Oryza sativa Japonica Group: one gene and its partner. The protein of the gene in region 2 interacts with the protein of the main gene of each other region in a pairwise test. Links are inferred from orthologs where the notes say so. Each region holds a gene or a part of one and is shown on either strand. Other genes may lie near its edges.

Region 1 (5,157 bases), on a different chromosome or scaffold from region 2:
GCAAGTGCTTACATGTTTCTGGTCATTCTAAATTCCATCAGAGGTTGGTGGTTGTTCAGCCCCAGAATTTGGCAGAACAGTGCTAGCTGACGCTTTCGGTATCTGGTTTTGCTGTGCTACTTGAGGCCCAGAAGCATATGGTCCTGATACCTGCAAATGACCAATGCCTAATCTAGGTGAACAATCAAAGAGGCCTGAAAATTCCCTTTGTCAGTATGGTATTTTTGTACCTGTGGTGGCACTGTTTGCCAGCCATCTGGGTGAAGGAAGGGATTGCTTGCCTCTCTCAGTTGAATGTTCTGCATCTGGTTTGCAACATTCATTGGGTTCATAGCTGGAGATGAATTTAGAGGGATGTGATTTGGCATAGAATGGTTCATGTATGGCAATCTTGACATGTGACTTAGGCCTTGTGCCGCAGGCATGCACGCAGAATTCATGCCCACGGCCATTGGTGGCATGAACTGGTGAGCACCAGGGAACATCATTGGTGCCATCCCAGTAGTCATCCACATGATCTGAGGCACAGATTCGACAATCTCAATCTGTGCTAGTAATTGGCCTCATGTAGGACCATGTAAGTTCAGATACAAGAAACAGTAGTTCAAACCTGAACTTGCATTTGGAGTGACTTCAGATACTCGATTGCTTCATCTAATATAGATGCCTTGTCGGTCTAATTGAAAAATATATAGATAACTGCAGTTAGTAAAGTAAACCCAAAAGGTTTGAATAAAAAAGAGAATCATATCAACAAAGGATAGATCAGATATGCCACCACTCACCAACATAGCTGTATCAGTCCATGGACTTGCACCTGATCAGAAAAAAGATGCATATATAATAATGTTTCTTACCTTGTTGCAATGAGGTATGAGTTCTTGCAATGCGCGCATCTTCTCGTTGATCCGATCCCTTCTTCTCTACATCAGTATCATCTTTTAGGATGACTACTAAAAATTTATCTCTTAAGATCAGTAGCTGTATTTGATGATCTCACCCTCTCTGACAGGTTATGAACTTCAGCTGCACGAGTTCTCCTCTTTGATCCATATCGCCGCGACGACGATTTGGTCTCTTCGGTTGCCTCGCATTCAGCATCCTGAAATTTCTCATCAGTTTCATTCAAGAATTCATCTCAAGCATAGCAAGTTGCAGGTTACAGCCAACGAAAAAAAAAAGATCACCTCACTGCGACTGTCTGAATCTTCTCTGCCTTTCCTCTTGTGGGCACTGGCGCTCTCGCTGGGCAAGCCGGAAGCGCCGAAGTTGCTGCCGGAGCCGCCCGACGACGACGTGCCGGCGCCGTCGTGGGTGCTCGACCGGCGCGGCCGCTCCGGCGGCAATGCCGCGCCGGCGTCCCGGCAGCGCTGCGCCGCCGTCTCCGGGATGTGGTTGCTGCCGCAGAAGGCCGAACAGATGTCGCCGGTCCAGCTCGACCCGATGCCGCTCCTCATCGGCGGCCTCGCCGCCGGGGGCGGCAAGTCCGGCGGCGGAGCGTGGTGAGAGCTCGGCCCCGCCGCCGCGGCCGCCGGGAACGCGTCGCCGGTGACGCTGCGCCAGAGCTGCGTGTAGAGGTCCTTCTCCAGCGCGTCGTCGAGGGTGTCCGGGAACCACGCGGCGGTCTCCGTGTCGTCGCCGGTGAGCACGCTGGCGCTCTGGCCGCGGCCGGAGGAGGAGACGACCCTCGCCTGCGCCGCCTGCGGCTGCGCCACGACGCCGCCGTTGTGCCATAGCAGCTCCACCAGCTCGTTGTCCGTGCTGCAAATCGCCATTGGAGCAAATGCACACAGAGTCAGGTCAGGTCACTACCATTCGGCAACAACACAAGACGAATCCGTTCTTGGGTTTCAGATGAAATCTCTACACGATTTGCTTCGTCTGATTCGCCGCCGATCTCGCATTGCCATCCATCCCACGATTCTTGTGTCCCCCCAAGAAATTCACAACCTGCATAAACCACATAGAAAAAGAAAAAAAAAGAAGCATTAAGCATCAAGTATAACTGCACAAGTTGGTTGAAACAAACAAGAACAGCAAGCACAACCAAGACAAGGAGACAAACTTTACACCTTAAAATAGAAGGAAAACCAACAAGATAAGCCGCAAAGTGATGCAAGAAACCTTGGAACAAACAGAAAAAAAAATAAAAAATAAAAGGAGAGCAAAGCTGAGCTACCCAACCTAGCTATTCCTCCTTCTTCTAGTAGCTCCCCAACCTGCACAACCATAGCCCACCACCACATCATCATCAGCTTCTCAGAAAGGGCAAAACCAAAAGAGAATCCTTTTCTGCACAAGCAACTAGCCACGCCAACAGCTATTGTTGACCTCTCTCACCTGAACCAAACCAAACAGTAGCAACTCTTGCTGCAAAGTCTCCTCTTCTTGCTCAGCTTTAGGCGCGGCAGTGCAGCAGCAGCAGAGGCGAGTATACGAACTCTTGCTGCCGCGAGTGTCCCGCAAAGCGTACTTGGAGGTGGTGAGAAGGGAACAAGGCCCGTGGGCTGCGTCCGGTTGGATTGTTGCCGGGGTGGAAATAATGGAGATGGAGGAGGAGGAGGAGGAGTTCCGATGAGGAGGAGATGGAGATGCAAGCAAGCTGCTTGGGTTGGGCATCGTTGTCGGATCTCCTTGGAGTGGGATATATGTCGGCCCTCGGAATTGCCAACTTGGATTTGCAGGAATGGATACATCGCTCTCCCACTTCTCTGCTACTTCTGCTGCTGCTGCTGCTGCAAGCTTAGGGCTCTGTAAACTAATGGTTTCTGCTTCTGTACTTTCTTCTCCTATCTAGGCCTGTTTAACTTCACACCAAACTTCCCCAAACTACCAACTTTTCATCGTATCCAAAACTTTTCTACTCACATAAACTCCTAACTTTTTTTTCAAACTACCAACTTTCTCCAAACTTCTCCCCAATTTTAGAAACTAAACACAGCCTAAGAGTATGTAACTGATGTTGTAAGCCTGTATCACTGTATGCATCAATGCATCATATGCATGTTGATGTCGTAGTAATATACTTTATTCATACTGGATTATAATTTGACTGATGTGGATCTAGCTGGGGTAGTTAATTCTTTGCAAAAAAATGATCAAGATGATCTATTAAACAGGTAGCTAATTATCTGCACCAGCCTGTTGATTCCATTGGTTATCTTTGGTCAAATTCAGACCCCTACACAGGAAGCATTGGAAAAATGCTAGTAAGTAATTTTTGGAGGTATTTGTTGATGCCATAGAGTCTGGTTTATTTGGGAACATTGTTGTGCATCAATGCCATGTAAACAGATTGGACAGGAAATCTTCTCTCCTTTCTGATGTTGGTCCCATCTCACTGTTGCGATAAACATATAATTGATGACTCTGAACTGAGTTTGCTCCAAGCCATAAATTTAGTTTTTCGATAGTTTCTCTACAGAAAGAGACCTCAATAGGACTATTCATCACATTGCCCATCCTGGCATGTTTTTGACAGCCTGAGGTAGAGTGTTTTTTTGTTCTTTGGGGATTTTTTTTCTTAGTCAAGGTATCTTCCCAAAATATTGTTGGAATTTCCCGAGGAGTTTTACTAAACCATAAACAAATCTTGAAGAAATATTTACAAAACATTATATATTAGGATCTCCCATGTCTTTTTACTTTTTAATAACAAGGCATTGTATACTTTTTTTAAGACAATGGATTAAATCCGACCTCTACGCAGGCCTTGTATACCAGCTCCACCTTAGCTAATTTTGTATGTTGTCTAGCTATATAGTTTCGGTGAAGCATAGGAACGATCCTTAGATAAAATGTTCTTTGAAACCTTTTTGAGAGTCAAAGCATATTTTTAGTGTTTGTTTTAGAAAGGTAGTATGTAGTTGATAAATATGTTTTTATGAAAATTGATGAGCAATGGTGCTTGATGCCTTGATGGATACCATGCCAAGTATTGCCCACCACTAGCATTGGAGATACGCATAAAATTCTTTCTATGGGGGGCAGGGCAATGACCAGAAATGATTCTCCCTTCTTCAATTCAGCTTACTTCATCATATGAGACCAAACTCACCAACAGTGACCCTGACGGTTCTGTTTCTGAAATCACCCAAAAAAAAACATGTCATCACTCTCATGATTGTATTGGTTAAGTGCAAGTTTTAATTTGACAAGAAGTGGTTAGTTTTGTTCCCTTGGAATCGGCTGCAAAATCATTCCAATCATACCAGTTCAAAGAATCTGAAAACGGTGCGCCAAAAAACCAAAATTTCTTTATTTCTGAAACGAAACACAGGAGCATACGATTCCTTTGGAGCAATGCGAAGTTAGCATCTCTTTCAAGACAGTAATATTTCGGAATAATTTGAAACGACATGTGCTCTACTTGCATCTGGGCATAATCTGAAAACGAAATGTGCCCCCAACATCCAAAGCCATAGGAAAGCAACTGTGGGATTTGGATCATTGCTAGCTCGGCTTGGGGTTATCTAGCTACTACTACTAGTCTAGCCCCTCTGGATCATTCCATTCTGACGTTTTCCATTCCCTGTTCCTTTCTGCAGTTTTGTGATCTTGTGATGAGAAAAAAAAAGAAGTTTTCTTTTTCTTCTTGGGATGCAGGCTGTGCTGTTGTGATCTTGAGCCAGGTGAGTTTGAGCCAATGGGAGCTCAGATGTAGATTACAGGGCAGTGCCTTCTCATCTTCAGAGAAGATCTGCAGGGTGTCCCCATTCTTGTGAAGACAAAGAACTAAGATAGCTTAAGCTCTTTGCTGACAGCAACATCTCATCCATAGGATGTGGTCACTAAGGTCCAAAGAAAATTTTGCTTGCAAATTTTATTTTATTAAGATTTGGCTCTAGTTTTACTATATAATATTGGAAATAAATTCAAATGTCACACTAAGTAATCATATTACAATTTATCTCCCATTTAACCATACACTCAATTTATACTGATTTGGTTGAGGAGTTGATGATGCTCAAACTATGGGTCAAATAAAGAAATGGATCATATATATTGGAGTAGATATGATAATTACTATAATATAAAAATGGTATTTTCCGTTAGAACAGGGTAGATTTTGGAAACGGTTGACATAATCACATAATATCAATATCGTTTCCGTTTCTATTTCCATTTTTTTATCATTTTTATTCAATTTTATCGGTA
Region 2 (5,380 bases):
TCTGTGTGTGTGCAGACAATTTAGAAGAGAAGACCGCAGAGATACAATAGATGAACATGACAAAGTACAGCTACAAAATATATAGTCGACATTTGTCACGAATATACATGGATTAGCAGTAAAGTTTTTGATAGGGGCAAAATCAATATTGAAGATGAAAGTGGGGGGAAAAACGAAATTGTCCTTAGAAAGGGACAATTTCCTAGAAATATTGGCACTACTCAGAACAGTACGGTAGGTCAGGTCGCTAGTGTCCTTGTTTTCAATGGTGCTCGCAAACTTCTGTGATAGAACACAAAGTTCAAACATGTACAACCTCCAAAATCGACTTCTGTGGTAGAACACGATGTTCAAACATGGACAGCCTCCAACATCGAGAAAATGGAAGTAAAAACGTGTCTAAGAAGGAGCACTGAGTAAAGTCCTATAAGATTCTGAAACAAGATGGTTACGATCTAGACTGGCCTATGCATCACTAACTAGCATAATTACATCTCACCTTCAAAGATGATTTTCTCCAAAACGTCCATAGTAACAGTGATGGATATGCCACAAGTTCCTTGGGGGACAAAAAGGATGTATTGTGTGTGAGCGAGTGGATGTATTGCCTAGTTAAAAGCAGAAGAAATGTATTGCCTACATCTAATGAGTTGCAAAGTGAGCAGTAATCATCTGCACTCTATTTTACATATAGGAAAACCTTTCAAACTACTCTGGAGAAGAAACCATCTCTACCTCCCTGGAGGATGGATCATCATCTTCATCTTCTGAGATATCATCTCCAGTGCTGGTTATATCTGTATAGTTTGCCTGTCTAACAAATTGCCCTCGCACCCTCGGCCTTGTTTCAGCAAGTTTCTTCCTATTCACGTACCTCACCTTCTTGTCAAAACAACGTTCCTTCCTTTTCAGCCTGAATTTGGCAAGTGCTGCAGCTCTCCGTTCAGACCGACTACATGTTTCCTCGGGCATTGGTGTGCTTGATGCCTGTGGCCACATATTTTGTGTTGGCAGTTGATTTGATTGAATGCTCATACCAGCAGGATTATACTGAAATGGTGGCATCATAGATACACCATGACATTGGGGATAAACATTATACTGAGGGAGCAACGTTTGTGGTGTATGCACTTGAGCGTTGTTTATGTTCCCTTGGAAATTTTGCACCGGAGGATGTGTCATACCGTGGTCCATCATCCCTGGGTAATAAAAGGGAAAATGATATACAGGAGGAGTTCCTGAAGCATCATTTTGGCCTTCATTGCTTCGCTCCAGATGCAAGTTAGAGGAAGAAAAGCATACCACAGGGTATTGCACTGGCATCTCAAAGGCTTCTTTATCCCGAATATTTACATCAGTGCCAGTGTCACTTCTGTCAGTTGTACTAGAGAAATTACCCCTGTGATCCGAAGAGTCTAACCGATTTCCACCTTTTTGTAGTTCGCTGTCAAATGAGCTGGTAGTTGGGGTGCTTGACTTAACATAAGCTAGAAAAGCAGAAGACTCAGCAACCCTCAAGTTAGTCTTTATTGGACGTGAAAACATTACTCCGGGAGATGCTGGCATAAAAGCAAAGGCATAAACCTTAGAAACTATTCTTCAATTGGGGGATCTGCTAAATCAGCTAAAGGAAATGGTTTAAGGCTCAAGATACTTACAAGCTTGGTCGCCGCCTTCAGTAGAGACTAGTAAACCCTCTGGTGTGCCTTTTTGTTTAGGCTCAGCATCAGAAGGATTAGACTGCAAACATATCAAGAAATGCAAGGGCATTTAACAAGTAGACTGATGCAAAAAATTCAGCATCTTATCATCATCAATTGAACATATGAGGCAAAAAGGCATGCTCTAGCATCTAAACAGAACACAAAGGTAGAAAGATACTAAATAGAGAAGTAGTATGTTGGACAGCAAAATATAAAAGGATAACTAGTACTTGATTGGTTACCTCATATTCATGTTGATTCGAGGTGCTTGTTTCTTGATTAATGTTTTCTTTTGGCTTATCATCTGTGTCATCCGAGAGAAGAGTGGTGCTGTTGGTATTGGCGTCACTAGGTTCCGATAACGCCAACTCGAAATTGTCATTGAAGAAGTTTTTCTCCGACAAACCAAGCTGCCAACACCAACATTCAACTTAAGATCAACTCATACACGCTACAGCAACGCCACAGCCATCTCAGCTTAGAGCATGCTTTTCAACACAGAATTTGAAGATGAATCAACATAGTCCCCTTTACCATCCGCCTTCGCCGCCACACATGGGTCCAGAGGTTCAGCAGCTCGTTCATGCGCAGTGGCTTGACCAGGTACTCGGCTGCCCCGAGACGCAAGCACTTGACAACAACAGAGACCTCGTCTCTGTTGGACATCACTGCATAATTCGCATCAAAGATGAGGATGGTCACTACAACAACCCTACGAGCATGGGCATCAGAGGAATAGGAGGACAGCTTACTTATGATGGGGATGTGGCGCAATTCCTTGTTCCTGGCGATGTATTTGAGCATCTTGAAGCACTTGGAGACGGGCAGATCGACCTCGGCCAAGATGATGTCGATCTCCCCCGCCTCGCAGTTGAGTACGTTGATCACCTGCCTCGGAGACTTGGCGCAAGTCACTGAAACAAAAACAAAGACGTATCATTCCATGCGAGAAGGTGTGATAGAACTGCTAATTCATCTACTAAAGCAATCTTAATCCTTAATTATAAGAGCAAACCAAATACTAAGCAGACAAAGCTGAACTGACCTTGGTATGAGCAGTTGCAGAGGAGGCGGAGCACCTCCCGTGAGCTACTTGGGTCGCTGTCGCAGAGCAGAATCCTCACCTTGCTCCGGTCCACGAACTGCTGCCCTCCCCCTACCGCCGCCCCGCCGCCAACGCGATCCCCCTCGCCGGCGCCCACCATACCCCGACCCGCACGGATTCCCCCCCTAGCCACTTGTCACCAGCTGCCGACGCGTCCGAATCAGCACGAACAGCACAGCAGCCAGCAGCAGCTGCCGGCGCCTAGACTAGACGACGCAGGAGGACGAAGCGGTTGTTGGATCTGCGGGCGGCGCCTCCTCCTCCATATCCCGTGCCGTCGCCAGTAGTATCGCCCCCAGAGGCTAAGCAGTGTGCTACCGCCGCCACCCGCCGCCGACGCCGGCGGCGTCCTCCTCCGCCGCGCGTTGCGGTCCGGCCCGCACCATTATCCGCGCCTAATCTATTCAGGAGGCGGCGGCGGTGGTGGTGGCGGCGTTGGTGTCCGCTCTACTGGCACAGGATATTTTCCTCCCCCTACCTTTTGCTTTCCTCTCTCGGTGGGGCACGCGGCTCGGCTCGGCTCGGCTCGGCGAGAGATGAAAGAAAGAAGAAAAGGCCTCGTCACGCCGCGCCGGGGCGGTGTAAAAATAAACGAAACGGCTCGTCGCGAGCGGTTTGTGTCGCGTACTCGCGTCGCGCGGTGCGGGTGTGCGTGTGCGTGTGCCGGTGTCAATGGATTCGTCACGGGACGGGACGGGACGAGCCGCGAGCCGCGGCCCCGTGGGTGGGAGGGCCAGGTTGGATGGAGGGGAAGAGCCGGGCGTGGTTAAGCCAGATGGGCCCGGCCTGGCGGCGTGTGATTTCGGTGAGAAAATATCTACGCCTACCTGGCACGGAAATATCTTAATCGCGGATGCGATTAGGGGCGGCGGGCGTGGTGGGGCCGTGGCCGTGCGATACGGGAGCCGCCACGCGCGCGAGCTGGGGGCCAGCGAACGAACGCCAGGGAGACGCGCTACTGTAGTAGTACTGTGGAAACGACGACGCGAGAGGCGGAGGGAGGTGGTGCCGTGGTGGTGCCGTGGGAGTGGGAGCGCCACGCCCACGTACGTGCGGCGGCGTCCACGGTGGCCGCGTCCCCGCCCTCCGTTGCGGATCACGACGAAAGCCGCGCCAGCCCACCGCGGACGTGCCAAGGCGGAGAAAAATCCAGAGGGAAACGCGGCTCTCACGTTTTCACGTAGTACAGACCTTGATGGGCAGCATGGCGATACGGTGGTGGCTGGGCTGATGAGTAAAAGATTTTGAGCTACCGGACGAGACGAGTGGCCGGTAGAGAGCAGCAGCTGGATGGGGGGTGTTTTTTTTTTCCCCGTGTTGGCAACTTGGGATGCCCATTGCCACTACGCCGATCCGGAGAGCGACTGGTCGTGGACTTGTGGTGGCGGCTCGTGGCGCCGGCCTAGCGCTTTTTCTGTAGCTTTGCTTTTCTTGTTTGCCACTGGCGATGTACGTGGTGGCCTCCGGGCTCCGGCAGCAAATCAGCGATGCTGCAAAATGGGTTTAGCGTTAACAGCGCTGTCGTTTGTTTACTGATCTGTTACCAGCGCTGTAATTCAGTAATTCAGCAGAATGGTAAACACAACCAAGATTTTTGATTGCAGCTCTGAACTATGGCCAGGCAAAACAATCATTTTGACGAAGGGTGTTTCCTCCAGTTCACTGGCTGTATTTCTTCCACCGAGAGGAGTGGATGGTTGGTATCAGTGACGACACAACAACATCTCGATCTCAAAAATCTGGAGGCAGGCTGGCAGCCAGTAGCAGGAGCTTGGAGTGCCGATGTCATCAGTCTCATTCACAGGACGCACTAATCATATTTATTGCTACCAATGAAATCATACAAAATGAGTTATTAGCTAGAGTAGTGCTGCATACAGGCTTGAAAGTCACCCAAAGCTACTACTATCAGCAATAAGTTGTTCTGACAGTGGAAGTCCCCATATATATTCGCCTTTATTCTATGACATTGACACACCACAAACACGTTTTGGCAAAGGTATTTATCTACAGGGAAGGAGTGGCGATTGCTCCTGCCTCCGTCAGCAGAGGGACCAAGTTCCCTCCTTTGTGCATCGCCATGGTATCTGTTTGAAAGACATCAATGAAGATCGACGTTAAAATAGTGTAGAAAAACTCTGGCCTAAGTGACCCTTGTTCTAGCGATTTTCTTGTTCAGAAAAAAGTTAAACAGCGATAAAAATGCATGAAAATGTTGTTGGTCCGATGACATTAGTATCACAAGTTCACGACAAATTAAGAACAAGGAACTCACCGTCACAGCCACCAATATGTTTCCCTTTAATGAAGACACAAGGAACAGTTCTCTGTCCAGTCCAATCGGCAAGAGCTGACTGCAGCTCAGACCCATCACCTTCGTATTATGAGGATGAATTAGTTCAATGATAAATTACAATGTATGAACTAAAGAATAGCCAGGACATTCTAAAATTGACTCATGTAATAATATATGATCTTTTTTCTACACTGTTTTAACGTCGATCTAGTCCTCCCTACTGAGTGTTGATGTATCAGAGCTATAAGTGGGTCCCTGTAGTTTCTTCTCTGTTCG

Evidence for each region.
Region 1: the proteins of two-component response regulator-like PRR1 (region 2) and transcription factor PHYTOCHROME INTERACTING FACTOR-LIKE 13-like interact in a two-hybrid assay, tested with the Arabidopsis thaliana proteins (3 studies listed by BioGRID). The link is inferred for Oryza sativa Japonica Group from reciprocal best matches to the Arabidopsis thaliana genes TOC1 and PIL6.

What each region holds. Positions count from the first base shown.
Region 1 is NC_089037.1:33,401,408-33,406,564, reverse strand, and holds the start of transcription factor PHYTOCHROME INTERACTING FACTOR-LIKE 13-like, read right to left. Parts: upstream 3,089-5,157; 5' UTR 2,620-3,088; coding exon 2,341-2,619; intron 2,220-2,340; coding exon 2,073-2,219; intron 1,951-2,072; coding exon 1,868-1,950; intron 1,762-1,867; coding exon 1,188-1,761; intron 1,103-1,187; coding exon 1,001-1,102; intron 924-1,000; coding exon 858-923; exon of another isoform or gene 786-857; intron 677-785; coding exon 611-676; intron 519-610; coding exon 231-518; intron 151-230; coding exon 28-150; 3' UTR 13-27; intron 1-12. UniProt on the Arabidopsis thaliana protein: Transcription factor acting negatively in the phytochrome B signaling pathway to promote the shade-avoidance response. Regulates PHYB abundance at the post-transcriptional level, possibly via the ubiquitin-proteasome pathway.
Region 2 is NC_089036.1:25,050,172-25,055,551, reverse strand, and holds two-component response regulator-like PRR1, read right to left. Parts: upstream 3,535-5,380; 5' UTR 2,909-3,534; coding exon 2,749-2,908; intron 2,618-2,748; coding exon 2,456-2,617; intron 2,372-2,455; coding exon 2,238-2,371; intron 2,114-2,237; coding exon 1,946-2,113; intron 1,741-1,945; coding exon 1,659-1,740; intron 1,560-1,658; coding exon 709-1,559; 3' UTR 437-708; downstream 1-436. Other genes in the region: glutaredoxin-C4, chloroplastic, read right to left, coding at 4,816-4,895, 5,084-5,182. UniProt on the Arabidopsis thaliana protein: Controls photoperiodic flowering response. Component of the circadian clock. Expression of several members of the ARR-like family is controlled by circadian rhythm.